Linked DNA regions of Sus scrofa. The protein of the gene in region 6 binds, or shares a complex with, the protein of the main gene of each other region. Links are inferred from orthologs where the notes say so. Each region holds a gene or a part of one and is shown on either strand. Other genes may lie near its edges.

The links.
Region 1: E3 SUMO-protein ligase RanBP2 (region 6) and NUP153 share a complex: the UniProt entries of both Homo sapiens proteins name them as parts of the nuclear pore complex. The link is inferred for Sus scrofa from reciprocal best matches to the Homo sapiens genes RANBP2 and NUP153.
Region 2: E3 SUMO-protein ligase RanBP2 (region 6) and CETN3 share a complex: the UniProt entries of both Homo sapiens proteins name them as parts of the nuclear pore complex. The link is inferred for Sus scrofa from reciprocal best matches to the Homo sapiens genes RANBP2 and CETN3.
Region 3: E3 SUMO-protein ligase RanBP2 (region 6) and NUP214 share a complex: the UniProt entries of both Homo sapiens proteins name them as parts of the nuclear pore complex. The link is inferred for Sus scrofa from reciprocal best matches to the Homo sapiens genes RANBP2 and NUP214.
Region 4: E3 SUMO-protein ligase RanBP2 (region 6) and NUP160 share a complex: the UniProt entries of both Homo sapiens proteins name them as parts of the nuclear pore complex. The link is inferred for Sus scrofa from reciprocal best matches to the Homo sapiens genes RANBP2 and NUP160.
Region 5: E3 SUMO-protein ligase RanBP2 (region 6) and NUP188 share a complex: the UniProt entries of both Homo sapiens proteins name them as parts of the nuclear pore complex. The link is inferred for Sus scrofa from reciprocal best matches to the Homo sapiens genes RANBP2 and NUP188.
Region 7: E3 SUMO-protein ligase RanBP2 (region 6) and NUP205 share a complex: the UniProt entries of both Homo sapiens proteins name them as parts of the nuclear pore complex. The link is inferred for Sus scrofa from reciprocal best matches to the Homo sapiens genes RANBP2 and NUP205.

Annotation. Positions count from the first base shown.
Region 1 is NC_010449.5:13,411,008-13,414,915, reverse strand, and holds part of NUP153 (nuclear pore complex protein Nup153), read left to right. Parts: intron 1-2,192; coding exon 2,193-2,387; intron 2,388-3,908. UniProt on the Homo sapiens protein: Component of the nuclear pore complex (NPC), a complex required for the trafficking across the nuclear envelope. Functions as a scaffolding element in the nuclear phase of the NPC essential for normal nucleocytoplasmic transport of proteins and mRNAs.
Region 2 is NC_010444.4:97,579,515-97,583,422, reverse strand, and holds part of CETN3 (centrin-3), read left to right. Parts: intron 1-314; coding exon 315-506; intron 507-3,908. UniProt on the Homo sapiens protein: Plays a fundamental role in microtubule-organizing center structure and function. As a component of the TREX-2 complex, involved in the export of mRNAs to the cytoplasm through the nuclear pores.
Region 3 is NC_010443.5:271,106,504-271,110,411, forward strand, and holds part of NUP214 (nuclear pore complex protein Nup214), read left to right. Parts: intron 1-625; coding exon 626-821; intron 822-1,687; coding exon 1,688-1,839; intron 1,840-2,611; coding exon 2,612-2,810; intron 2,811-3,908. UniProt on the Homo sapiens protein: Part of the nuclear pore complex. Has a critical role in nucleocytoplasmic transport.
Region 4 is NC_010444.4:14,867,209-14,871,116, forward strand, and holds part of NUP160 (nuclear pore complex protein Nup160), read left to right. Parts: intron 1-697; coding exon 698-825; intron 826-910; coding exon 911-1,071; intron 1,072-3,184; coding exon 3,185-3,318; intron 3,319-3,908. UniProt on the Homo sapiens protein: Functions as a component of the nuclear pore complex (NPC). Involved in poly(A)+ RNA transport.
Region 5 is NC_010443.5:269,258,001-269,262,360, forward strand, and holds the start of NUP188 (nucleoporin NUP188 homolog), read left to right. Parts: upstream 1-1,495; 5' UTR 1,496-1,562; coding exon 1,563-1,594; intron 1,595-4,360. Other genes in the region: DOLK (dolichol kinase), read right to left, coding at 1-1,156. UniProt on the Homo sapiens protein: Component of the nuclear pore complex (NPC), a complex required for the trafficking across the nuclear envelope. Required for proper protein transport into the nucleus.
Region 6 is NC_010445.4:47,598,331-47,602,769, reverse strand, and holds the start of E3 SUMO-protein ligase RanBP2, read left to right. Parts: upstream 1-1,441; 5' UTR 1,442-1,549; coding exon 1,550-1,621; intron 1,622-4,439. UniProt on the Homo sapiens protein: E3 SUMO-protein ligase which facilitates SUMO1 and SUMO2 conjugation by UBE2I. Involved in transport factor (Ran-GTP, karyopherin)-mediated protein import via the F-G repeat-containing domain which acts as a docking site for substrates.
Region 7 is NC_010460.4:13,718,555-13,722,462, reverse strand, and holds part of NUP205 (nuclear pore complex protein Nup205), read left to right. Parts: intron 1-356; coding exon 357-548; intron 549-1,628; coding exon 1,629-1,896; intron 1,897-1,992; coding exon 1,993-2,091; intron 2,092-3,908. UniProt on the Homo sapiens protein: Plays a role in the nuclear pore complex (NPC) assembly and/or maintenance. May anchor NUP62 and other nucleoporins, but not NUP153 and TPR, to the NPC.

The DNA.
Region 1 (3,908 bases), on a different chromosome or scaffold from region 6:
TCCCATCTGGTATTCCTCCTCCTCCCCTTAAAAAGAAAGAAAGAAAGCCCTGATGCATGCAAGAAACCAAAATTAATTGAGTTGATGGGAGAATAAAACTGAGTCAGGAAATTGTTATACAGAAACAAAGGAAGCTCATATATATATGAAAAAACTTCCACTTCATCCTTTAGCTGAACCACCATTATAAGCAGAAAATGATCTGGTCAAACTTGTAATTTTGGTAAATCACTCGGTGGCTTTTTGGAGGATAGATTTGAAGGCAACAAAATTTGGAGACCAGAGGACAGATTAGGAAGTTATATCAGTTATATAGGTCAAGATCCTAGTGATGTGTACTAGTGGAATCAAATAAGGATTAGAGGGGGCCGTAGAATAATGTGCAGTTGGAGACATGGTTGCTTTCAAGCTGCTAAAGTTGACAGATAGGTGTGAAGCCTTTGGTTACACTGACGCTGGACCCTCTGGGCTGGAGATACAGATCCGGGAGGACTTAGCCCAGAATTTTCAAGTCAGTCATGGGCGTAGAGGTGATGTGAGGTGAATGAGCAGAGCAAATAGACAGCCTAAAACAGAACTCTGCTAACTTAAGGGAGTAGCAGGAATAAAACTTTGGAACAGTTAATCTTTTAAAGGAGTAACCAGAGAGGAAAATCAAAAACCACACGGTACTGGTGCTTTTTAGAGGATGGATTTCAAGGGAACAAAAAGAACCTGACGTAGTGTGCGTGAGGATGTGGGTTTGATCCCTGGCCTCCCTCCGTGGGTTAAGGATCCGGCGTTGCCACAAGCTGCGGGGTGGGTCACAGATGTGGCTCAGATCCAGTGTTTCTGTGGCTGTGGTGTAGGCCCATAGCCACAGCTCCAAATCAACCCCTTGCCTGGGAACGTCCATGTGCCACAAGCGCCACCCTAAAAAAAAAAGAAAAGAAACAAAAAACAGGGCTATTAAGCAAGAGGTGAGGGAGCTCAAACCAAAATAGCAGGAGAAGGGTCAGAAAAAGAATGAAATGTATTGAATGTGTAAGGGTAAGGGAAGAGTTGCCATCTAGCCAGGGTAACCAGGGGGATAGTGGAACCACCGACAAGAGGACAGCACGGGGAGGAAACCTGAAGAGTGGGTGGCAGGTCCAGATCAGAAGATGGTTTTGTTTGGTGATTAAAATGTTCGGAGTCGAGGAGAGCTTGTGAGAAGGGCAGTGGACCAAAGATGGAACGATTTTATTGGCAGGATGGAAAAGAACATACCAGTAAACGGCAGATCAGGTAACTGGGAAAAGTGACGACAGTTGGAGAACATTTAGAGAAGTGGGGGCACCAGAATGAATGGCTCCGCTCTCGACACTATTTCTTCATGCACCTGCGCCTCGCTGAGCCATCCTTCCTGTGCTGCCGCCTCTCCCCCACAGTTGCTAGTTCTGCTTAAAAATGTAAATATCAGCTCTGTGACTCCTTCTCCTGTCCTGTAGTCCTTTCCTCTTTGTCCTCTTGTTTAGATCATGTGTTACTCTTTGTCCGTAATGGTGCTACTGTGCATTTATGTTTGTTTTACTTCCCCCTTTTTAGACCATGAGCACCTTTAGAAGTTAAGCAACATCTTGTTCATCTTGCTCTCCGCCCCCAGAACCTAAGAACGTTATGGTGCTTATTAATTCATGTCTGTTAGATAGCTGCTTTATAACAAATGCTGTGGACGGTAGTCAGTAGTATCGAGTTGAATTGCAGAGTGGCCAGTAGAACATTTCTATGCAAAATTGTCATTTCAAAGCAGAGCCCTGTCCTTGGCAATCTTGAAATGAATGTGGTCTAGGCTCTGTATTTTATGTTTTAGACTGTTGCCTACAGTTTGGAACTTACATTGTATAATGCTGTGAAATTTGATAATGAATCTTAAGGAGAATTGAGTCTTTTAGGCTCTGAAATATGAGCATGATTTTTAAAAATCCTGGCTCTTCATAATTGGGGTTAAGAGGGAGCTCATCATTGCACAAGGTTTGTGAGTTGCTCATTTATAAGATTAAAAGAAATCTGAGATGTCTGTATTGTTTTTAACAATGTAATGTTTAGACTTCTGGCATTTTCTCTATCTTAATAAACTCTAATAAGAATGGAAATTAAGACTTGGTGGTGTCACTGAGATATTGACATGATGTAAATTAGGAATTTTCCTGTATTTCTCCATTATTTTTTAGGAAGTTCAGTACCTGCTTCAAGTAGCAGCACTGTCCCTGTCTCTGTGTTGTCTGGAGGCTCCCTAGGATTGGACAAGTTTAAGAAACCTGAGGGAAACTGGAACTGTGATGTGTGCCTAGTGGAGAATAAAGCAGATTCCACCAAATGTATAGCATGCGAAAGTGCAAAACCAGGCACCAAGTCTGAGTTTAAAGGTAAGGTCTTAGTAAAGCACTTTTTTATGTTACAACTTTAAAATGAAATATAGGTAAACAGTTTTGGTTTTAAAATGATTTGTTCTTTATTGAAAATCCATGTAAAATGAGGAGTTCCTGCCATGGCTCAGCGCTAACGAACCAGACTAATAACCATGAGGACGCCGGACACGAGGATGCAGGTTCGATCCCTGGCCTCGATCAGTGGGTTTATGATCCGGTGTTGCTGTGAGCTGTGGTGTAGGTCGAAGACACAGCTTGGATCTTGCTATGGCTGAGGAGTAGGCCGGCAGCTACAGTTCCAATTTGACCCTTAACGAGGCCCTAAAAGGACAAAAAAAAAAAAAAAATCCATGTAAAAAGAGGTATTGTCCTGGACCTTAGCTCCTATCTCTAAATTACTATAAAAACCAATCATTTGCTGGTTAGCAGTAAAGATAAGTATATTTTCTATTCATTTTCATTTTAGAAGGAAGATGCTGGTTGTACCCACTGAATTAATTGCGTGACTGATGGGGTACAGCTGGCTTAGAAAATGCTGCATTTGGATTTCCTATTGTAGTGCAGCTCAAACGAATCCAACCGGGTACCATGAGGTTGTGGGTTTGATCCCTGGCCTCGTTCAGTGGGTTAAGTAAGGATCTGGCGTTGCCATGAGCTGTGGTGTAGATGGCAGACATGGCTCCGAACTGGTGTTGCTGTGGCTGTGGTGTAGGCCGGCAGCTATAGCTCCGATTAGACCCCTAGCCTGGGAAGCGCCATATGCCGTGGGTACAGCCCTAAAAAGATAAAGACAAAAAAAAAGAAAAAGAAAACGCTGCATTTGGGTTTTAGCAGAGCGCTAAAGCTCCTTCTGTAGCTGTTAGCTCAGGTCCCTTTCCCATGTTCCCGCCTGTAAATACAGTAATTACCATACCGTTAAATCCTCCTTTTGAGACAGAGGTGATAACTAGTTAAGATGTCTTTGGCACCTTGATTTTTAGCTTTCTGTCTGATATCATTTAAGGTATTTTAGAGACCATGTGGGTGGCCAGTTGCTCCTGAAATTCTGACATAATTTTTCAAATAAATTTCTTAGGGAAAAGAAAGTGAGGTAGGTAATGGCTGTCACTATCTTTATTTATACCTGGGGGAGCAGAGTGATGGATCAGTAGCTTGGCACTGTTTAATGATTTCTGTGTTGAGCTGGTCATTTAGGTGCTTCATTTCTGGTTTATTCCACTAAAGAAGCATTCCGAAACCAAGGTACTGATCTTGTCAGAATAGTATTTTTATCTTTTAAAATATTGTTTCCACTCCTAAAATTCTGGTCCTTTTTTTTTTTTTTTTAATTTTAGGGCTGCACCTGCGCCACATGGAAGTTCTCAGGCTAGGGGTCCAATTGGAGCTGTAGCCACCAGCCTACGCTAGAGCCACAGCAACATGGAATTTGAGCTGCATCTGCAACCTACACCACAGCTCACGGCAACGCTGGATCCAGGGATTCAACCCGAGACTTCATGGATGCTAGTTGGGTTCATT
Region 2 (3,908 bases), on a different chromosome or scaffold from region 6:
CCTAGTACAATTCTTGATAATAGTAGATCTTAAATAAATATGGTACATAGTTTTAAAATTTTTGCTTCTGTGATACAGTTATGTTTATCTTATAATGGGATAAATTGTTAATAATATAAAGGTTAAATTTTAATATATTGATTTGGTCTTTATAATTTTATCTCTGGAGCTTTGGGCTCCAGTATGGCATTTTTATTGTCAAACTAAATATTGACACATTCACAGCTTTAATTCTTATCTAATACTTAGTTGATTTCACAAATGAGTGCTATAGTGACTATAAAGTTTTGGTTTTCACCTTTTTTTAACTATAGTGACAGACTGGATATTGGAAAGAGATCCACATGAAGAAATATTGAAGGCATTTAAATTATTTGATGATGATGATTCAGGTAAAATAAGCTTGAGGAATTTGCGACGTGTTGCCAGAGAATTGGGTGAAAACATGAGTGATGAAGAACTTCGGGCTATGATAGAAGAATTTGATAAAGATGGTGATGGAGAAAGTAAGTTTCAAGTAAAACATATATTCCAAATATTCCTAATATATGCATATAGTAAATTTTTCTAAAACCAAATTATTTTCAAGATTCTTTGCAAACTATTTAATGTAAATGTCGTTTATCCTGTAATGGGCTTTTTGTATAAATACTACTATAAATACTACACGTACTCAGTTTAGAGTGAAGCAGACCTTTAAAACCTACTGTGTAGATTATAATATGAAGTTCCATACTTTAAGAAAGTACTTTTCTTTGAGGATGAAATATCTCCAAAATTTCAGCCACTCAGTAAAATTTCAGCTTTAATACCTTCTTCCTCAAGCTGCATGTGCATCTAAATTGTAACTAAGTTCTTTGCATCTACCTTTCAGAGTTTTTGAATCTGTTTTATTTCTTTATTGCTGCTGTCCTAACTTAGGCTCTGATTTCTTTGTTGGAATGTTATCATAGTTTCATTTGTTTTTTCCTTTTTTTGTGTGTGTGTGTGTCTTTTTAGGGCCACACCTGTAGCATGTGGAGATTCCTAGGCTAGGGGTTGAGTTGTAGCTGTAACTGCTGGCCTGTGCCACAGCCACAGCAATGGGAAATCGGAGCCGTGTCTGCGACCTACACCACAGCTCATGGCAATGCCAGACAATCCTTAACCCACTGATTGAGGCCAGGGGTTGAACCTGCGTCCTCATAGATACTAGTCAGATTCGTTTCTGCTGATCCATGGCAGGAACTCTTATTTTCTTGAATGCCTGCTGCGTACACTGTTCTGTTTGTTAACTGATGCTACCCAGTGACAAAGGCTTATGTTGTCCCTGCTCTGCACTCTATGCCTGTAAGCCTCTACTCTCTTACTAATTTATTCTAAAGCATTTTTTTCCCTAAAATACAGTTTTAGTGATTTCATTTTCCTGTTCTAATGCTTAAAATGATTACTCAGTGCCTACAGAGTAAAATCCAAAGCCTTCTGTGATCTGTCCTACCATAAGTATCTAGTTTTATTCCCCACATTATTTTTCTGCTTTCTACTTTAACCCTCGCCTCCATATAGTATGCACACTGTCACAGAATACACTCTATCCTGTCTTTTTATGTTTTGCCTTTCATGCTATTCTTTAATCCTAGAATGTTCTGTTTGCCAATTTGTTGGCTAAAATGTACATTCTGAGGTTCTTTTTAAACTCTGTTTTTTTTTTTTTTTTCCTCAAAATCCTCTCTCAGTGATCTCTGTTTAAAAATTATGAGAGCCCATTGAGGGCCCATAGCATTTAGAGAAACAAGCTATTTTGACACTTCTATATTCTGCCTTCTCTTAGGTATATACATGTGTGTCTCTCCAGTAATATTGTGAGCCTGTAAAGGGCAGACAATCATATAATGTGAAAGACCTAAGGTTTTGGACTCAGGCAGACCTGGATTTGCATTGAATCTCTACCACTTACTTAATTGCCCTAATTTTGTGCAAGTTTTCTGAGTCTCATTTTTCCTATTTATATCAATAAGAATGGTAATACCTTCCAGGATGGTTATGGGCATTAAATGAAAATAATTGAAGATACCTAGCTTTATTTTTATTTATTTATTTATTTATTTTTTGTCTTTTGTCTTTTTAGGACTGCACCTGCAGCACATGGAGGTTCCCAGGCTAGGGGTCTAATTGGAGCTGTAGCTGCTGGTCTACGCCATAGCCACAGCAATGCCAGATCCGAGCTGCGTCTGTGACCTACACCACAACTCACGGCAAGGCCACACCTTTAACCCACTGAGCGAGGCCAGGATAGAAACCTAGTCAGATTCGTTTCCACTGCGCCACGACAGGAACTCCAGAAGATGCCTAGCTTTAAATACAAGCTTATTTTCCTTTTTTTCCATCTTTGTAGTCTTCATTTTTTTTTAACATGGTGAGTACTTTGATGTTTGCCGACTTAAGCAGCAAGCAGGAGTGTGTGTTACAGGAGATACATGTTGATATAGTCCTAACTATATATTTTTACTTATATTATCTTGAAAATACTGTCATGCTTTAATAAGGAGATAAGACTGTAGCAACTAGTTATCAGTTTAGGTTTGTAGATTGTCCATTAGAATTGTGCTCTATTGTGCTTTCTCATATTTATGTGACTATTATTTAAGCATTATACAACATTTCTTTTTCTGATGCTAGCTCTATGAAGAGTACTGATATAGTTACTTATATTTTAAAACAGAAATGATTAAAACTTGAGAAAATTTAAAGGATTTATTTAGCTGTTATTCTAATATTTGGACTTTGCATCCACTGCCTTCATATTTAAAAAATTCTTGTATCCTCCCTAGCTGTTGATTATTACCCTAAATTAGCTTTAAAGGAGTCCTTTATGTAAAAGTACTTTCTTCAGTGGTAGAGCAAATCATGGTATGTCTATTTTCTAAATCTTTAATAATAGCTACTATGCGTGTCAGAAGATCAGAGTTATAAAGTTTCTTTTTCCTGTAGGAGGCACATGCAATACAGATTTTAGTTATTAGCTTCATTTGATATTAGTAGAAAATATCAATTAGGAAGCTGCTCTTAAATTCAAACTTGATATGAGTGTTTGCTTAGACAATGTGTCCATTTCTTGTATTCCTTGTTAGACTGCTCTACCTACTGTTGCTTTAGAGTCTGAGTTCACACCTGTGCTCCATTGCTAGAAAATTTTATTTTAGTGGATCCTTAAAACATTTCTTCAATCTTCACTGCTTGTCTTACTCTGCTTTAAGTCACTGTACAACTATTGCTTGGCAATCCTCCTGTCCTTTATTCAAATGACTAAGAGGCAAATAACATTTTTTTCTCCTTTTTTCCCTAGTGGTTGATTACAAATAAAATCTACCTGACACATAATCTTTTATTGTTAAGATACATGTTTTTGTGGAGGAGAAGAGAGTGGGTCATATCATATTAAAATAGCCTAAGTTTGTAGTTTCCAAGACAGGGTGTGGGTGTCTAGGGGTGGGGACCTTCTGAAGTATTGCACAGGGCTGGGAGTTCATGTATGCATCAAATATTGTCTGTAGACCTTATGAATAATAGTATTGATGTACATGCATATTTAAGCTGTTATTTTTCAGTTATTTATCTAAATGCTATTGTGATTGATAAATACACTTATTGTGTAAAATTTATAGTACCTGTTTGACATTATCTACTTCTCAAGATTTACTGAAGACAGCTGTTGTAGCAAGTCCTGATAATTATTGCTGAGGTCATTTTCATATTCAGAAACAATGAGAACTACAACTCAAATCTATTTAGTGGGACTAGGAATACTGCCTTAACTTATATTGGGTCTCTGCAGCTACCTGCAAATCTGCCCAGTTTTGAAAAAGTAACAAGTTAGATTTTATCATAATGTTAATCTGATCACTTAATCTTTTTGTTTGTTTGTTTGC
Region 3 (3,908 bases), on a different chromosome or scaffold from region 6:
TCAGCAGTTAACAAACCTGACTGGCATCCATGCGGACGCAGGTTCGAACCCTGGCCTTGTTCAGTGGGTTGAGGATCTGGCGTTGCCGTGAACTGTGGTGAAGGTCTCAGATGCGGCTCGGATCCTGTGTTGCTGTGGCTCAAGTGTAGGCCGGCGGCTACAGCTCTCATTAGACCCCTAGCCTGGGAACCTCCGTATTTTGTGGATACAGCCCTAGAAAAGACAAAAAGACAAATAAATAAGCTAGGAATTCAGAAAAGGGAAAGATCAGTGTTCACTGGGTTAGTCAAGAAAAGCTTCATGAGTTTTTAAAAATTTATTTTATTCAATAAATACTAATAAGCACTATGCCAGGTACCACAATGTCATAGGAAGATTAAAAACGCGCAGAGTTCCCTCATGGCTCAGTGGGTTAAGGATCCTGCAGTGGCTCAGGTCCCTGCTGTGGTGTGGGTTTGATCCCTGGCCTAGGAACTTCCACATGCTGCAGGCATGGCCCAAAGAAGACTGAGCTACACAGTACTTAGCCTCAGGGTAACATGTATTTTGTCGTACTGGAATATAGTGACAGGTGATTTAATTTCCTATTTACTTGAATTGATCTTGTTTTGACCCCTCACCACAGGATTTTCAGTTTAGAGCACTGAAGAAGGTGAGAATCTTTGACTCCCCTGAGGAGCTGCCGAAGGAACGCTCAAGTCTACTTGCCGTGTCCAACAAGTATGGCCTGGTCTTTGCCGGTGGAGCCAGTGGGTTGCAGATTTTTCCTACCAAAAATCTTCTTATTCAGAATAAACCTGGCGATGATCCCAATAAGATAGGTAAGTTACTTAATTTATGGTGCATTGTAAAGAGAGGAGTCGTGCAGTGCTAATGCCATTTGCTTCCGAAGAAGTCATCCTCCCAGTACAATTAAAACTGCTGTTAGTCCTGAGATTGACCCCCAGGAAGAGTAAGTTCTGGGTAGGCTGCTGGAAGCTTTTCTGGGAGTTCCGTTTGATTCTTCGTGTATCTCTTTTGATGAGTTGTTCCTTGCTTTTAGTTTTTGCTCAGTTGAACTTGCTCCGGCTTTCTCCCGGAAGAGTTGTGTTGCATGGCTTTTTAGTTGTCATAGGAGCACCATCCAAACAAATGGGAATATGTACTATTTGGAGTGTTGTTACAGAAATTCAGCATGGGACACTATTTTCTTTTTCTTTTTTTGCTTTTTACACTCGCAGCATGTGGAGGTTCCCAGGCTAGGGGTTGAATCAGAGCTGCAGCTGCCAGCCTACACCATGGCCATAGACGGCCAGATCTGAGTTGAGTCTGCGACCTACACCATAGCTCACGGCAACACCGGATCCCTGGCCCACTGAACAGTGCCAGGGATCGAACCCACATCCTCATGGATGCTAGTCAGGTTCATTTCCGCTGAGCCATGATGGGAACTCCAGGACACTATTTTCAACAAGGAGCACAGCCACTGCGAGTTTCCCCAGGTCTTAAGAGGAAGAATCCTAGAATACTTAAAGCATCATTGTACATCTGCAGGACAGCCATGATTTATCTGCACAGCTGGGTATCAGGGTGTGTGCATATGTTTGTGTAGATGCTAAAGTTATTTTACGTCAACTTGAATAGAGGGCTTGTGGCTTATGCTTAGAACACTCCATCTTCTGCTTTGTGGGTTATTTTGTCTTCATAGTTGATAAAGTTCAGAGCCTGCTGGTTCCTATGAAATTCCCGATACATCACCTGGCCCTAAGCTGCGATAACCTCACGCTTTCCGTGTGCATGATGTCCAGTGAATATGGCTCCATTATTGCTTTTTTTGATGTTCGCACCTTTTCAAATGAGGTAAGCTGCTGGCAAACTGTAGGGACCTGGTACTGAATCAGAATCTACAAGTTCTGGGTTGACCTTTGAATCTTTTTCTAGATTAAAGTACGGGTTTTTAAAAGGTCCTTAATTATAGAATCACAGATCTTAGAGATAAAAGTGACCTCAAGAAATTATTTCGGGGGAGTTCCTGTTGTGTGGCTCACCGGGTCATGAACCCGACGAGTATCCATGAGGATGTGGGTTTGATCCCTAGCCTTGCTCAGTGGGTTCAGGATCCGGTGTTGCTGCGGCATAGGCCAGGAGCTGTAGCTCCGATTGGACCCCTAACATGGGAACTTTCATGTGCCGTGGGGTGACCTTAAAAAAAAAATAAAATTCAAGGACCCAATACTGTTAATAAGCAGAGCCCAAGAGTTCCCTGGTGGCACAACAGGTTAAAGATCTGGCATTGTTGCTGTAGCAGCTTGGGTCACTGCTGTGGCTCAGGATCAATCCCTCACCCAAGAACTTGCACAACCAAAAAAAAGAAAAGCCCAGATTTTAGTCTAGTATATACTCTTTATTGTTCTACATGTGTGTATTCCCCTGTTGAGTCTCTCCAAGTATGCTGGAATAATTGCCGTTTTCAAAGTTGTATTAAAATTGTAACAAACACGTTGTGCAGGGCTAAGTATTCTTGTCATGGAGCAGAGTGAACTATAATTGGAGAAAACTTGTGTATTCAATGTTTTTTTTTTTGACTGTTAAATGTCTGTTTATTTTTGTTTCTGGGCATTTGTTTTAAAAGGCTAAGCAGCAGAAACGTCCGTTTGCCTATCACAAGCTCTCGAAAGATGCAGGAGGCATGGTGATTGACATGAAGTGGAACCCTACCGTCGCCTCCATGGTGGCAGTTTGTCTGGCCGATGGCAGCATTGCTGTCCTGCAAGTCACAGAAACCGTGAAAGTGTGTGCCACTCTTCCCTCCACAGTAGGAGTAACATCTGGTGGGTAATGAAGTCTTCTGCTCTGTAACGTGTGGTAGTGGTCATCTATTTAAAAACTAGTTACTGGGGAGTTCCCACTGTGGCTCAGTGGGAACGAAGGCAGCTAGTGTCCATGAGGATGCAGGTTCGACCCCTGGCTCCGCTTTGTGGGTTAAGGATCCGGCGTTGCCGCAAGCTCCGGTGTGGGTCCGGCTTTGGCTCTAGTGTAGGCTGGCACCTGTAGCTCTGATTTGAGCACTAATCTGGGAACTTCCATATGCTGCGGGCAGGGCTGGGAAAAAAAAAAAAAAAAGCGAAAATAAATAATAAGAAAAACAATATTTTATCTTTGTGTGTGTGTGTGTGCGTGCGCTTTTTAGGGCTGCCCCTGCCCTGGCATATGGAGGTTCCTAGGCGAGAGGTCGAATCGGAACTGTAGCCCCTGGCCTGCACCATAGCCACAGCAACATCAGATCCGGGCTGCGTCTTTGACCTACACCACAGCTTACGGCAATGACAGATCCTTAACCCACTGAGCGAGGCCAGGGATTGAACCTGTGTCCTCATGGATGCTAGTCAGATTCGTTTCCAGTGAGCCGCAATAGGAACTCCATCAAAACAAAAAGAGGTGATAGTCCTTTAAAAAAAATTAATTTCTGGGAAAAAAAACCTCAAGTGGGTTTGTTTTGTTGTTTTTGGTAGAAGTGGAGAGAATGTTTCTTATTTTTGTAGTTACTGTCCTTGAAGCGAGACAGCATATGTGATTTAGCTTGAATGTACTTGGGTTTTCTGGAGAAAAAAATATTGTGGTAGAGCTGGTTTAGAACTGTGCTGTTAAGAATAACTGTTTTTCTCTTAAAGAGTCATATTTTGTACCTTCAGGGAAAAAGCATCAGAAAGTACCACGTAGGAGCAAGAGAATGATTTCTTGATGTCGGAAAATCTTCTCTTCTCGTTTTTTCTAGAGTTTTCTGCACTTTACAGTTTTCGGGGCCATGCTGCCCTGAAAAGGCGCTTTTAGCAGCTGATTCAGTGGCCCAGACATAACTCACAATTAGCTTGTGTTGTCAAAATGATTTTCCTTTTTTCACTTCGCCAAGTAAGGGTGATCCCACGGTT
Region 4 (3,908 bases), on a different chromosome or scaffold from region 6:
AATTTAGGGTAAAGTTCATTTCCTAATGGAAATTTAGCAGTTTTTAGTGCTAAAATCAGGTTTTTAATGTACGTTCAAGTGTGTACAAAGTAGTGGCTTAAAGTTAAAATGAGTTGCTGTGATTCTAAGTAGGTGCTTCAGCTTTTTTTTTTTTTAGGGCCACACCCACTGCACATGGAAATTCCCAGGCTAGGGGTTGAATTGGAGTTGTGGCCACTGGCCTACGCCATAGCCACAGCAGTGCCAGGTCTGAGACGCTTCTGTGGCCTACACCTCTGCTTTGGCAACACCAGATCCTTAACCCATTGAGGCCAGGGATGGAACCCATATCCTCACAGATTCTAGTCGGGTTCTTAATCTGCTGGGACACAACAGGAACTCCAGTGTTGCAGCTTTTAACCAGAAAGTCTCACACATTAACTTGGGTCTGGAAACAGACTCATAAGTTATGGCCTGGCTATTAACTAAGCTGTAAATTTTAAAACATTTTCCTCACATTGATTTTGTTTGTCATTTCTGAAAAATAGAGGGAAAATTAGCTACATGGAATAAAATATGTTGCGTGCTAGCATGATTATCTCCACTCTTTTATTATGTGGTTGGTTTTCCTGTTTCGTAGAGCATTTAGCTTACAGGATGTGTAGAATCTGTCTTATGTGGTCTCAGTAGTAATAGGAGTTTTCTCATTTCCTCATAGAGACAATGTGATGGAGGATATTTGCAGTAAACTGCAAGAGATTCGGAACCCAATCCATGCCATTGGACTTGTTATACGGGAAATGGATTATGAAACAGAAGTGGAAATGGAAAAGGGATTCAATCCAGGTAAATGACAAAACAACAAACATGCCTTTTTCATTTGATTTAGAGAAAACAGTAATCCATTTAACTTTTTCTTTTTGAATTACAGCTCAGCCTTTGAATATTCGAATGAATCTTTCCCAGCTCTATGGTAGTAGCACAGCTGGGTATATTGTGTGCAGAAATGTGTGTAAGATTGCCAGTACTCGCTTCCTCATCTGCCGAGATCTGTTGATCTTACAGCAGCTACTAATGAGGCTGGGAGATGCAGTAAGTACTACTCAGGGGAGAGCTTATGAAATCTAAATCCTCATCGAGACCTATGGGCGCAATAGCAGAATGCCAGCTTTTTGTGCACAGACTTCTGTCTCTGTTCACTGCTCTCTCCCCCAGGCTTGGCCCATAGTGAGTACTCTATAAAATGCATGTCGAATTAAGAATGAGTACGCATAATAACCTACAATTACAGAGTAAGAACATCTATGAAGCAGGTTGTTTTACTCTTAACCTTTGTATGTATAATAGTGAGAAATTTTCCTAGGTCAGCTCTGTGCAGATTTAGGAGGTTTTTTGTTTGTTTGTTTGTTTTGCCACACCTGTGGCATCCGGATGTTCCTGGGCCAGGGATCGAACCTGCAGTGCTGGGTCCTTAACCCACTGAGCCACTAGGGAGCTCCCAAGTTTAGTGTTATTAGTTCAACGTTGGATGTTGGTATAGAAAAGAAAGGAAGAAGAAAAAAACTCTATTTCTGCAGTATAGGATTTACCCTAAGAAGTTTTGAGATGACAGAGTCTGTTTTAGGGATCCTCCCAGCTCCTTTCTGTGCTTCCTTTCCATCCTCTTCTAAGGCCACCAGATTCTTGTTGCCTTCCTCCTGTCCTTTCCCACCCTGCTGAATTCCCCTCCCCCCCCCACCCAGAGGGGGTGCACCGTTCCTGGAAGTACTACAATACCAGATTGATGCGCAGAGTGGATGGAGCAAGCTCCTGTTCCAATTCCTAGCCCCAAAAATCCATTTAATATATTGTCCTCAGATAGAGGACGTATCATATATTAAACTGATAAGAACAGATACTACACTTGATCTTAGCCAACAAGCCAAGTAGCGATGAATGTTTTATGTTCAAAAAAATGTCCCTTTCTGCCCACCAGCAGAAGGCCCATTTGTCTCTCACTCAGTAATTTTATCTGAGCCTCATAAGGAAGCAATCTGATTAAACTAATTCATGTTAATATATAAATAACTGATAGGCTTTTGGAGCCCAAGAGGTATATATACTTTTCAAGTCAGAATATATTTACTCAAATACCTTGCTGGTGGCAGGATTTCAAGTAAAAGTAAGGACAAAATAGGAAGATGATCTGTTTAGGACGACCAGGGAGAAACAGGAACCTTCCTGAGAGTCTCTCACTCAGGGCAGCCCTTGCTTAGTTCTTTTCAGTCTTTGTAGACTCTTCCATTTCTTCAGGTTTGGGTTTTGTTCTGTTTTGTTTTTAATTATAATCTTTGTCAGTGTTTTCTAAACACGAAATAGATATTCATTGTAGAATCTTTATAGGTAATCCTGTATTTATAAACAAAAAGAAAATAAAAATTCATCTGTAACTGTTTAGCCACTATTTACATTTTCGTATATACCCTCATTTTCTCTGCAGATAGTTTCTAAATTTTAATTACAAAATTTGCATATGCCATATATGCATATGCCAATTACGTTTTTGTAATCTGGTTATTTTTATTCCTTTGCTTTACAAATCTCACCAGCACGTTCACGTGTTATCAAGTATTTTTGTACAACATTATTTTTAATAATTGCCTGGTACAATTTTAATTTATTCAACCAATCCTGTGGCCATCCAGGTTGTGGCCAGTTTTCCTCTTATTGATAGAACTTTCTTTACTCCTTTGACTATGTCCCCAGGATGAATTCCAAGAACTAGAATTGATTGGTCCCAAGTTACCCACATGTTTGAGGCTTTGGTGGTCTTATCACATTTTCCTCTGATGGTAATATCTATTTTTACCCAAGACCAGAGGCTTCAGAAAGGACTTAGATTTCCTTATTACCCTTCTTGAGTTCTGGACTTACAGATTTAATGAAAGTTAAGCTTGATGTTGTTGTTGCTCTGTTTCACCATCAGCTCACATGACCTTGTGAGCTTTTTCTGATTGTTTTGTACTGCTATTAGGGTAGATGTTTTTGCCATATGCCGCCCCAAAATGTAATAGGTGTGTTGCTTTTGTGTATGCTTGTAGGTATGTTGCTTTTATGAATGCCCTTTTTAACTGTGTTGTTTTATTTTATCTATACCTAAACCTAAGAATTACCATTGCTAATTGCTGTTTACTGTTTCACCCACCCACCCACCCATCATGTACAGGTGATTTTGGGAGCTGGTCAGCTCTTTCAAGCTCAGCAAGACCTACTACACCGAACAGCTCCCCTACTCTTATCCTATTACCTCATTAAGTGGGGAAGTCAGTGTTTAGCAACTGATGTTCCAGTTGACACACTGTGAGTTTCATTATTCTAATTATTTTTAAAACAAATTGTGAGCGTAATTTATTTTTTCCACTGTCTTAAAGAAAAAAAATCTAAATATTATGCCATAGAGTGATTAGCCTTTAAAACTCAGAGCTTTGAGATATTCCATCTTCCAAAGGCTAAAGGCAACTTATAAGAATGAAAATAGTGTGTTTTTATTATTATATATGTATATAAAATATAAAGACAAATCCTGTCAAAGGCAAAATAATAAGAGGAGGTCACAGGGAAAATTAGACCACATACAAAAACATGTAGTTATTTAAGGTAGGCTGAGATTCTTAACCAAAAAAAAAAAAGAAAAAAATCAATATATAACTGTAAATCTTATATTTCCCTTAGATAAGCCACTTTAGTTTTTTCTGGCAAGGGAAGGCTTTTCATGGCCTTGGGGTCAAGAGAAATTTCTGCTCTGGCTTCTCATTGAAGGATCACTGAATGATACAGGGAACAATCTACACCATGTCTGTTTTTCAGATTTTTTTTTGTGCTTTCAGTGGAGCTTTCCTGTGTAATGTATTAATAAAATTAAAAGTGTTCTTGATTGGATAACTTGTTGG
Region 5 (4,360 bases), on a different chromosome or scaffold from region 6:
GGCCCAGGGGCTTGATGCGGAAGTAGCGCACGTACTCCAGGAAGATGAAGACCGCCAGACACACGGTGGCGGCCACGTAGAGCAGTGGCCGGTCAAAGATGATACCTGGGATGTAGGTGGCTACCACAATGAAGTGGAAATACTTCCGAGCAATGGTGGGGGCCTGGTGCTTCTTGGACTCAGAAGATGACCGCTTGGCATTCTGGTATAGCACCACCAGGCAGGCCAAGGTGGCCAGCAGAGACCAGTAGGCCAGGAGGTAGACTCGGGTCTCCGTCTGGAAGAGGAACTGAAAAAGCCAGAGCAGGGGATTCCTGCGGATGAGCCGGTGAAGCCAGGGCAGGACCACGCCAAGGCCCAGCACACAGGTCATGAGGTGGAAGAAGATGGAGGAGGCCCAGGTGCCTGAATCCATGAAAACAAAGAGGGTGCTGAAGAAGATGCCCATGAGCACCATCCCTACCACCACCACCAGCAGGAAGAAGTCCAAGGGGTCTCCCTGGCTTTCCACCACAGTCAGAGACCGCTTAATGAGCTGGTTGAGCATGAAGCTGATGCCACCCAATACCAGCAGAGCCTCTCCAGGGGTGAAGCAGCGGGGCAACAGGTACAGCAGGATCATGTTGAGGTAGACGAAGATCAGCAGGACCTCCAGGACCTCTATCACCTCGCCTACACTCAGAGAGTGCTTCATGATATAAATGATGACACCTCCAGCCAAGCCCGAGATGACACAGGTGTTGGTGGGCACCGGGCGAGTGATGCCCAGAGCCAATACTGACGAGAAGAGGGCCACTGCCATGCCAGTGGCCGCCACCACAATTCCAAAGCGCTCAAAGTATGGGTTCCCCGCAGCCTGGCAGCGCTCCTTCATAACCAGTCCGAGCAAAGGCATGACCACCGAAGCGGGCAGGAGGCCACTGTTTGCGGACATTCGGAACTGGAAGACCGCGCTTCCCTGCTGTAGCAGTCGGTCCCACTTGTATTGGACGTAGAAGGCCTGCACGGCGAGGGCCACGGCGCACCACGAGTACCGATCCCACACTGCTGCGTGGATGCTCAGTACCACTATGAACACCACCGCTGCCTCTGCCAGCACGGACCCGCTCAGCGGAGCCCCGGACCCAGAGGCCGGAGGAGCGCACTCTCGGGTCATGTCTCTAGATCTGGGACCCCGGGGAAACCCGGGTGACTGGAGATGCCTTGGATTCTGGGCTCCTCAATCCTCGCCAGGCACAGAGCGGTAGCTTCACCCAGCCAGCACGTTCTCTATCCGCTCTCCTGCTGCCAGAAGGGAAGCGCCACTGAATGATCACTCTGTGCAGGCAAGGAGCTGGCGTCAGGTCACGCTCCAACGTCTCCCACCTCAAGCGTAGGTGTCGCTCCTCCACCGACTCCCTCACTGACTCGACCGCCCTCGCCCGGGAGTCCTCACCGCTCCGGGCCACGCCATGTTGGCCCCGCCCGCCGTCACGTGACGAAAAGCCCCGTCCACGCCCCGGAGGCGAGCGGTCACGTGGGCGCGGCGTCTGGGGGCGGGGCTAGGGCGCGCGCGCGCGAAGATGGCGGCGGCCGCCACCGGGCCGTGTGTGAGGTGCGGAGCGGGCCGAGTCAGCGGGGGTGGCTGTTAGGCGCCGGGTCGAATCCGAGCCGGAAGCGGGGCGGGATTTGAGGGCACGATGTAGCGGCAGTGGCGGGGCGAAGGCCGGCTAGGCGGACGGGCGCCGGGATGGAGGCGGTTACGGCCAAACGGTCTCGGCGCGCGGGCATCTGAAGCGACTTCTCGGAGAGGGGGCCGGTGCCTTACCCCTTCCCTCGGCGCCCGCCTCCGGTCTCCGGTTCCTTTCCCTTCTTCCCCTCTCCCCGTGGCGCGTCCCTCGGCGCCCCCCTCCCGCTTCCTGGCTGGCGTGACGCTCCCTCGAGGCGCGACGGGGCGCTTCGCGGTCGCCCGGGGAGCCCCCACCCCGTCCCCGCCGCAGCCTCCTGGGCCCTTCCCGGCGGCGCTCCCCAGGGTCCCGCATGTGCTCTCCATGGAAGGTCTGTTTCGGGCGTCGCCGAGCCACGTTCCTGCAGTTTCTGCCCTCTTGGGCCGCCCAGCCTTTCATTCATCCATCTATTCATTTTCTCCTGTATTGATTCCGTCAGCGGACACCCCACGCACTGTACTGGGCTTTGGGGACGGGAAGATAAAATACTCAAAAGAAAGAGACAGTTCTTACTTCTGGAGCGATACCAGCGCCGGGCTGGCGAGGCGCGTTCTTTTCCATGGCTTTATCTCCTTGAACTCCCACGACTCCGAGCGGCACCTTGTGTTTTACGGATAGATGACTCATAGACCCAACTCAGAACTGGCGGAGGGGTCCGGTGAGGCTTCGAACAGGCGTGTGTCTGCCTCTGGATCTGTAACCAGATCGCCACACTTCCATCTTCCACTTACAGCTCGAAGCGGCTTCCATTCTCGCGGCCACCCTCCCGGCTAACCGTCCCCTTGTCACTTCTTCCCTGTGCCTGCAGTGTTTCGCTACTTTTTTTGGCTTTTCACTACTACTCAACACTCCGAAGAGCATGGAATAGGCTCTGAGTAAATATTTATGACAAGTATTGCCCTTGTTCTCTGTACGACTTCCTGCGCCTCTCTGCTCAAGTGACTTTTTTTTTTTTTTTTCCATTGTGATGATACTTTTTAATCATGTAAAGTTTCAAGTGAGATTTCTCTTCTCTGGAATTTCCATCGAACTATTTCTGGAGCAGTTTGTGTTTTTCTCCTCCGCTGTTTTTCATGTCAGCTCTTGTATCGGGCAGCATTGTGGTCGCTGTGCTCTCCTTTTTTTAGGCTTGTCTTACAGTCCTTGTGGAGCTTGGGTAAAGGTCAGCTCCTGCAGGGCCAGGCGCGTTCTTCAGTGAAAGAGAGGGCAAGGAGAGGGAAGCGGTTAGTTTGCCTGAAAGATGCTTTCTTCATCCTGGGGGAACCTACCACATTCACACCTGAAAGTGGCAGAAATGACACCTGGGATTTCTAGGCCCTGCTTTGTGCATAGCCTGCTTTAGGAACAATCTTTTCTTTCTTTTTGTGCTGGTCAGCATGTTATAATGATTGGGATTATACTGAACAGCAGCCTTCTGTTTGAAATGCCTAGAAGTCTGAGCTAAGAGAAAACTGAAATTCTGTTCCTGGTGCCTGCTGATTTGCAGATGACCACAGACAGGCCACCTTACCCTTGGAGTCTGTTTCTCCAAATATTAATCCTTTTCAGGGTAATATTGAGGTGATTCTGAAGCTTGTAAGAAGGTGTATGTTAATACGAGTTGGCACTGGTCAAAAGTGGAATAGCAGTACTCTTAAATCACTCACAGTTGGGAGAATCACTGAGGGTTTGGCAGAAAGCTCGAATATTGGCATTTGGGGTTATCTCTTGTGTTCTAAAGTTAATGGGTGCGAGAAAACAGCTGTGGTTTGAAAGCATGCTGCCTAGCTTAAATTTCAGTTCACGAAGGAGAGGTGTGCTTCTGTGGAGTCAGCATCCATGGGCGGTGGCAACTTTTATTCATTTTTTCCACGTGGAGTAGTTAACTGTGTTTCTCAAAAGGATTATCTCAGAGTAGGTTGGCTGTGTCTCAGTCTTTCTATCAAAAGGACACAATTATTAATAAAGGACTGTTGTTATTTTTGGCCATGCAGCATGTGGAAGTTCCCAGGATAGGGAGCGAACCCTGGCCACAGCAGTAACCAGAGCCACCAGGGGAACTCAGACTATTTCTCATCTAGTTGCTTTCATCCAAAAGTTTCCAACCACATGAATCTCTCTAAGGAAGATAATTTCTAGTTTCAATTAATTCCCATTCTTTTAGGAATGGAATTCCTTGTTCGCTAGAATATTGGACTGGAAGTCAATAATTTTTTTTTTTTTTTTTAGGGCTGCACCCATGGCACATGGAGGTTCCCAGGCTAGGGGTCTAATTGGAGCTACAACTGCTGGCCTACGCCAGAGCCACAGCAACACGGGATCCGAGCCGCATCTGCGACCTACACCACAGCTCATGGCAACGCCGGATCCTTAACCCACTGAGCAAGGGCAGGGATCGAACCTGCAACCTTATGGTTACTAGTTGGATTTGTTTCCGTTGCGCCACGATGGGAACTCCCAGTAATTTTTTTTTTTTTAATCTCACCTTTGAGGCAAGCGATTTAATCTCTGTGTCTTAATTTCTCTCCAAAACCCTTAGCTCCCTCGTATTTATTGCACACATAAATGAGAGATATTGTAGCACTTAATTCATTTCTTGAAAACACATAGAGAAGATGTTACCGTGAACCCTGAACGAGCATTCTCATTCCTGCCGTGTCTGCTGTGTCTTGAGA
Region 6 (4,439 bases):
TTATCACCAACACTGTCCACAAGGCTTATGACAGCCAAGTTGCCACAGAACCCAGTCCTACGACTTCACCTGCAGGCTGGGCATCTCCACTTGAATACACAAATGGAAACTCAGGTGAAATAAATCAACACCTAAAGTGAGATATTCCATCCAGGACCAGTTTTCTTTACACTGTACTTCCGTTAATTATGCCAATCCCAGTAGCAACCTCACAATTGATCCTGAACCCAGTTCCCTCTGCTTACAGCTCAACAGGCCAGTACATCGGGATACTGAGGCCAGGAATAATGACTTTAATTGGAAAGCCGGCAGACTAGTGTCTCAAAAAAACCATCTTGCCTTTCTCTGAATTCAGGTTCCTTTTGTACAGAGAAAGGGGAGGGGGAGAGGCCAGTGGTCACTCACCAATGGTCCCTTGCTTGGGGGAAAGGCCCACTGCAATGCTGACCTGAGGCTGAGCAGGACCACTAAAGTTCACCCACTAACAGTGGCTTGTTTACAGAATCATTCCTGCCTTAGTACTCTTATTCATATCCAAAATGACTGAAATGAAATAGGACGGGCTGATTTTCCCTCTTTACAGAGGCAGTAATTGGTCATTGCCAAGTTTGGAAAATGGGAGTTCCCATTGTGGCCCAGCAGTAACAAATCTGGCTAGTATCACAAATACCATGAGGGCTCCGGTTAGATCCCTGGCCCTGCTCTGTGGGTGTTGCCTGAGCTGTGGTGTAGGCTGGCAGCTGGAGCTCGGATTTGACCCCTGGCCTGGGAAGTTCCATACGCCGCAGGTGAGGCCCATAAAAAGCCAAAAAAAAAAAAAAAAAAAAAAAGAAGGAAGTTTGGAAAATGGAAAAATAAAAAAGGATAGATTCTAAGTGGCCAGGCGACTTTTAAGTGTTGGATAAAACCATAAAGTCTATAAGCAAAAAATAAAAATAAACCATAACTATAAATTCTAAACTCCCTGTATACACTGATGTGATCTGCTGAAATCTGAAACCTACTGAAAACACCTTATTTTTGCTTTGTAAGGCTACACCCAAGGAATACTGAAATTCCCAGGATAGGTGCTGAATCAGAGCTGTAGCTGCCCGCCTACACCATGGCCACAGCAACGCGGCATCCTTGTACCATTGAGCTAGGGCAGGGATCGAACCGGAGCCCTCATGAATATTGGTCGGGCTCTTTTCTATGGAAGCACAACAGGAGCTCCGGAAGACGCTTTCTAAACGCCTACGACTGGCGCCGAGGTGTGACTGTTAGGAACGTCCGTGGGTTGGACCAGTCCCCGTCGCCTCGTTGTCACTACGTCACCTTCGCATTCCCGCGCACCTCGCTAGCATAGTCACCACCGAACGCCGGCGCCCGAGGGCCTGCGCGGCGCACAGTGATGACGCAACACGCACGTACGCACGCATGCACGCACGCGTGTCTGCCCCTCGCCGGCTACGGAGCTGCGTCACGGACCTTCGGGCGCCGAGCTCCTGAGACGGCGGCAGCTGCGGCCTCGGCGCTGGCGTCCCTCGCGCGGACCCCGCTCGGCGGCGCGATGCGGCGTAGCAAGGCGGACGTGGAGCGGTACATCGCCTCAGTGCAGGGCTCCGCTCCGTCGCCCCGAGAGGTGAGCGGGATGGGCGCGCGGCCTCCGGGCGGGCCGCGGCGCCATGGCTCCCACTGAGGCGCGGCCGGCGCGCGGGGGGCGGGGAGGCGGCGGGCGGGCGTTGGCGCGGCGCTCCCTTCTGCTTTTCCTTCTCCTTCTCTTCCTCTTCGTCCTCTACGGCGCCCGGCCGGCCCCGCTGTGCCCACTGCCCGGGCTCCACGCCGAGGCGCTGCCGCTTCGGCGCGGCCGCCTCGCCATCCCTCACACTCTGCATTGGAAGCTGCTTTTGCCGACTTTCGTTTTCCCGCTGGGTCGCGGGGGTTCTGAGTTCCTTCCCGGGCCTTATTGCTGGGGTAGACGTAGATGTCTCTTAGGGTACTTCCCCTTGTTCCCACGTAGGGAGTTGGCCACATCGTGGATCCGACCGGACGTGGTGCCTAGAGGGGACGGGGACGGGGACGGCGAGTAGGGGGTGGGCGCAGGATCCCGAGTCACTTCCCTGGGGTGGAGTCATAGCTATGCTGGACACAGGCTGTGGGATTTGAAGCAAGTTCTGTTTATTTCGTTAATAGGGCGGAATCAGGCTACTGATAGGAGTTTTTAGTATGTCCCGTGTTAAACATTAACGGAAGTGTTTAGCGCATTAAGTGCTCGCAGTAGATATGGGTGTTAAAGTACAGTCATTTAAGGTGTTCCGGGTAGGGGAACTTCCATATGCTGCGGGCCTGGCTCTTAAAAATAAATAAATAAATACATAAAAATGGAAAAGAAAGGTGTTTTTTTTTTTTTTTTTTTAGTGCCATCTTGACAGTTGTGTATTGCTGTTGTCATAAACTTCCTCTGTCTTTCAAATTATGAATTCGTGGGAGGTCCCTGGTAGCCTAGTGGTTAAGGATCTGGTGTCACTGCTGTGGTTCAGGGTCAGTCTCTAGCCCAGGAACTCGCGCATGCCGCGAGGATCAACGCAGGATCCAAGCCACATCTGCAACCCACACCGCAGCTCACTATACCGCAGCTCATTTAAAAAAAAAAAGTATGAATTTGTGGGTTGGGGAAGAAAGGCTCTGTATATTCAATTCTGGTGTATTCCTCTTTTTGCTTTTTATTTATTTAGTCTTTTTAGGGCCGCATCTGCGGCATATGGAGGTTCCCAAGCTAGGGTCCAATCGGAGCTGTACCTGCCAGCCTAGCCAGAGCCACAGCAACGCCAAATCCCACCACGTCTGCGACCTACACCACAGCTCCCGGCAACTCCAGATCCTCAACCCATTGAGTAAGGCCAGGGATCAAACCCTCAACCTCATGGTTCTTTGCTTTTTAAAATCGTTTCTTGCTAACTACAGTTCTATCCTTCTTGACCTGTTTTTCTCGGGTGTTTAAGATTCCTGAATGAAGGTTAAGACTGTCTGTAGTTCGAGTACATACTATTAAGGCTGTACAGTAAATACTGTCATAATAACATTATGTGGAATTATTTCTTAGGTGTATGTCACTGTTTTGACATAAAATTAGAACATACATATATTTTTTGTTTTGTTTCATTTTTAGGGCCACACCTGTGGCACATGGAAGTTCCCAGGCTAGGGGTTGAATCAGAGCTGCAGCTGCTGGGCTACACCACAGCCAAGCAGGATCCAAGCCGCATCTTCGACCTACACCGCAGCTCACTACCCTGCAGCTCACAGCAATGACTGATCCTTAACCCACTGAGCAGGGCCAGAGTTCAAACCCACATCCTCATGGATACTAGTTGGATTTGTTATCACTGAGCCACATGGGAACTCCTAAAATTAAAGTATATTTTCATCAGCTTTATTGAGGAGTAATTTACATGCCATACAACTCATCATTCAAAATGTACAGTTTAGGAGTTCCCATCATGGTGCAGCGGAAACGAATCCGGCTAGGAACCACGAGGTTGCGGGTTTGATCCCTGGCCTCTCTCAGTGGGTTAAGGATCTGGTGTTGCTGGGAGCTGTGGTGTAGGTTGCAGACATGGCTTGGATCTGGCATTGCTGTGGCTCTGTTGTAGGCCAGAGGCTACAGCTCTGATTCAACCCCTAGCCTGGGAATCTCCGTATGCCTCAGGTGCGGCCCTAAAAAGAAAAAAAAAAAAGTACAGTGTAATGAGTTTTGGTACATTATATTGTTGATGTTTTAAATTATGGTAAACCAGGTGTAACAAAATTTGCCCATTTTAACTACTTTTACGTGTGTAATTCGGTAGTGTTAATTGCACAGGTAATGTGCCACTTTCACTACTATTTCCAAAATTTTTCATCACCACAAACAGAAACTTTGTAACTCTTGAGTGATAACTCCCTAGGTTCCTCTTCTCCCTAACTAACCCCCGGTTACATTTAATTTACTTCTGTATGAATTTGCCTATTTTATTTTATTTTGTTTTATGTTTTTGCTTTTTAGGGCTGCACCCACGGCAAATGGAGGTTCCCAGGCTAGGGGTCAAATCAAAGGTACAACTGCCAGCTTACGCCAGAGCACAGCAGTGCCAGAAGCGAGCCGCGTCTGCAACCTGCACCACAGCTCATAGCAATGCTGGATCCTTAACCCACTGATCAAGGCCATGGATCAAACCCATGTCTTCATGGATACTAGTTGGGTTTGTTAACCACTGAGCTACGACAGGAACTCCCCATCACCATCTATTGAAGAGACTCTTCTTTTTCCATTGAGTGGACTTGGCACGTTTGTCAGAAATCAGTTGGCAGTAGCTTTATGGGTTTATTTTTGAGCTCTCAATTTTGTTTCATTAGTTTGTTATGTCCATTCTTATGTCATTACCACGTTGTGTAATGTGGTAGTGCTGTAGTGTTGTAGT
Region 7 (3,908 bases), on a different chromosome or scaffold from region 6:
ACATGCCGTTGAAACTGGGTTTTAGGCAACTAACTCTAGTGCTCCAGAGTAAGATAAGTAAACAGTTAAAAGAAGACAGAATAAGAAACTCATTTCCACCCACATCACTTCTGTCTCCTGCCTTACACACACACACACACACACACACACACACACTACACAGCCTTATGTATTATTTTTCATGCTCCGGCCACCAGTATAACATGAAAAATCATTTGTTGACTGCCATGCATGTGTTTCCTAAGTATACTATATATATTTTCAGTTTAGCTGACAGAATTAAAATTCGGAACCTGTTAGGAAAAGACATTATTTGCCTCTGTGTTAACCTTGCAATTCAATTTCTGCGGCTTTAGGAGATCAGCACTATTCTTCAGTACGTGGTAGGAAGAAACAAATTGCTGCAGTGTCTTCATGCAAAACGGCATGCGCTGGAGTCATGGAGGCAGCTGGTAGAGATCATACTGACAGCTTGTCCCCAGGACCTAATTCAGGCAGAAGATCGACAACTGATTATTCGTGATATTTTACAAGATGTGCATGATAAGGTGGTAACCATGCCTCCTAAATTGTTTTATACAGCCGAATACATATTTATACCATTGAAACATAGTTTGCCACTCCTTTTTTTCCATTTTAGATTGGGAGTAAATAGAGTTGTGCAACACCACTGTTAAGACTTTCCTTGAGAAAGGTCCTAACTTTGTACACTAATCGCTCTCAACCAGAGTGTGTATCAGAATTTTCTAGGGAGCTTTTTAAAAATATACATGACAGGAGTTCCCGTCGTGGCTCAGTGGTTAACGAATCTGACTAGGAACCATGAGGTCGCGGGTTCGATCCCTGGCCTTGCTCAGTGGGTTAAGGATCCGGTGTTGCCGTGAGCTGTGGTGTAGGTTGCAGACGCGGCTTGGATCCCTCGTTGCTGTGGCTCTGGTGTAGGCCAGTGGCTACAGCTCCGATTGGACCCCTAGCCTGGGAACCTCCATATGCCGCAGGAGCAGCCCTAGAAAAAGACAAAAAGACAAAAAAAAAAAAAAAAAAAAAAAAAAAATATATATATATATATATATATATATATATATATATACACATGACAGATTCTACCCTAGACGTGGTGAGACATTATTTTAATTTCCTTAAAAATCTCTAGGGAATTCTGATAGGAATCTCTTCTAGTTAAGAACATGTTACCCAGCAATTTAAATTTCCTTCTGTGGGAGTTCCTGTCGTGGCGCAGTGGTTAACGAATCCGACTAGGAACCAGGACGTTGCGGGTTCAACCCCTGCCCTTGCTCAGTGGGTTAAGGATCCGGCGTTGCTGTGAGCTGTGGTGTAGGTCGCAGACACGGCTCGGATCCCACATTGCTGTGGCTGCGGTGTAGACCAGCAGCCACAGCTCTGATTAGACCCCTAGCCTGGGAACCTCCATGTGCCGCGGGAGCAGCCCAAGAAATAGCAAAAAAAAAAAAAAAAGACAAAAAAAAATAAATTTCCTCCTGTGCATTAGCCTTTATTTTCTTTGAACAATGCAATTCTATTCTTAAGTTCTTATGGTAGTTGAAAAGCTAAATGTATAAGACATGTTCATGACTGTAGCTGAAAGCAGATCCTCTTTCTGCTTTTAGATCCTCGATGATGAAGCCGCACAGGAGTTAATGCCAGTGGTAGCAGGTGCCGTGTTCACCCTGACCGCTCACCTAAGCCAAGCCGTTCGCACAGAACAGAAGCAACCGTTAGTCTTGGGACCTGGAGAGGCCCATTATGCTTTTATGCTTGATAGCTCTTTCACCTCACCTCCGCCAGCGGAGAACCCTGTGGTGGGGTTTGCTTCTATTGGAGATTCTTCACTTCACATCATATTGAAGAAACTCTTAGACTTCATTTTGAAGACAGGTTTTTTCATCTAAATTTTCTATAAATTGCAACTTCTGTATTCGCTATAACTTTAATTTGAAAAAAGGTTTTTACTCTCCTACTCTTTTTTCTTAGGTGGTGGGTTCCAGCGAGTGAGGACACACCTGTATGGCTCTCTGCTGTATTACTTACAGATTGCCCAGAGACCAGATGAACCAGACACCTTAGAAGCAGGTAGAATTAGATTTCTAATCTTTTCTGGTTTTAGGGATTGGTTACTTTAATTTCTTAAAAAAATCACTTTTTCATCAGCTATAATAAATGAGTGTTTATGGAATCATTGAAGTGCTTACTCTAGGAGTTCCCTTTTGGCACAGTAGATTAAGGATCTGGCATTGTCACTGTAGTGGCTCAGGTTGCTGCTGTAGCACAGGTTCAGTCCCTGGCCTGAGAACTTCCACATACTACGGGCACAGCCCCCCGCCCCCCCCAAAAAAGGTGCTTACTCTAAAGTCAAGTGTTCTTAGTTCTAAAATTGTGACAATCGTACAAGACTAATGTGAAAACAAAGCACCCTCAAATATTATTTTTGGTTATATTTTTTTGTAATACTCTCACCTGTGGTCCCATTGAACAATATATATAATACATACCTAGTTGTAACTTTTAAAATTGCTCATTATTCCATAGTATGGAAGTAACATTTAATCATTTGCCTTATTCAGAAGCACTTAATTTGTTTCGAATTTTTTACTGTCACAAAAATTCTGAATCAAGTATTTTATAAGCCCGTATATTTCTCAAAGAAGATACCTCATTTCCATATGAAAGAGTGTGCATATTTTTGCTTTAATAGATTCTACCAAATGGACCTCTACCAGTTTAAACTCTCATCAATAGTGTACATATGTATTTTTGTACTAATGGGAGGTTTTTCTTGGATAGATTACAAGAAATAGAATTTCTTGTTTGAAAGATCTGTGTGTTTAAAATAGTTGTAAATCTGCTATCTAAACTGTAGTTAGCATTTTTAATTAAGAATGATAATGTGAGAGTTCCCATCGTGGAGCAGCAGAAAAGAATCTGACTAAGAACCATGAGGTTGCAGGTTCGATCCTTGGCCACACTCAGTGGGTTAAGGATCCAGTGTTGTCGTGAGCTGTGGTGTAGGTTGCAGATGTGGCTTGGATCCTGCGTTGCTGGCTGTGGTATAGGCCAGCAGCTATGGCTCCGATTTGACCCCTGGCCTGGGAACCTTCATATGCCACAGGTGCAGCCTTAAAAAGCAAAAAAAAAAAAAAAAAAAAAAAGAATAATAATATGGATTCTCCTGTCTCCACATATTGAAAATGTTTTTAACTATTCAAGAGACCAGTTATAGTATTCTCTGCCAGAGTTACTCTTCTATTTAAGAACTTGTAAGCACCATCTCCTTGTCTCTTTCTGAGAACTTTTATGAGCATTTGTTATTTTGTACACAAATTCTTAAAAACCACTTTGTGTGTAAGACTCACATTATCTCATACTATTTTTAACTGGCTATATATTTTTGCATACTATAATCCTTAGAAGGATATATTTATAGAAATGTCCTACCAGCTTAAATAATGCACAAAAATGTTTTTAGGGGCCTTAAAAATAAAAAAGTATTTCAAGAGTTCCCTTGTGGCGCAGTGAGTTAAGGATTTGACATTGTCACTGCAGTGGCTCAGGATGCTGCTATGCTGCTGTGGCACGGGTTTAATCCCTGGCCCTGGAACTTCCACATGCTGTGGGTGTGGCCCCCCCCCCCACAAAAGAAAGAGTAATTCAGAGGAACTTTTTAAACAAATAGGAGGTTGTTATTTTTTTTTTTAAGAGAGTATTGGGGATTTCACTCCCTACTCTCTTCTGCCGACACACCTCCCCTATTTTCCTCTTGACGAAAACAATTTAATATTGTATTTAGTTGAATTGAAAAAAAAACACCACTTAACCACTAGGTGGAGCTCTGCATGGTGTGTAGAACTCATTATCAAGATGTGGTAAAAGCAATGTGATCATAAAAGAAA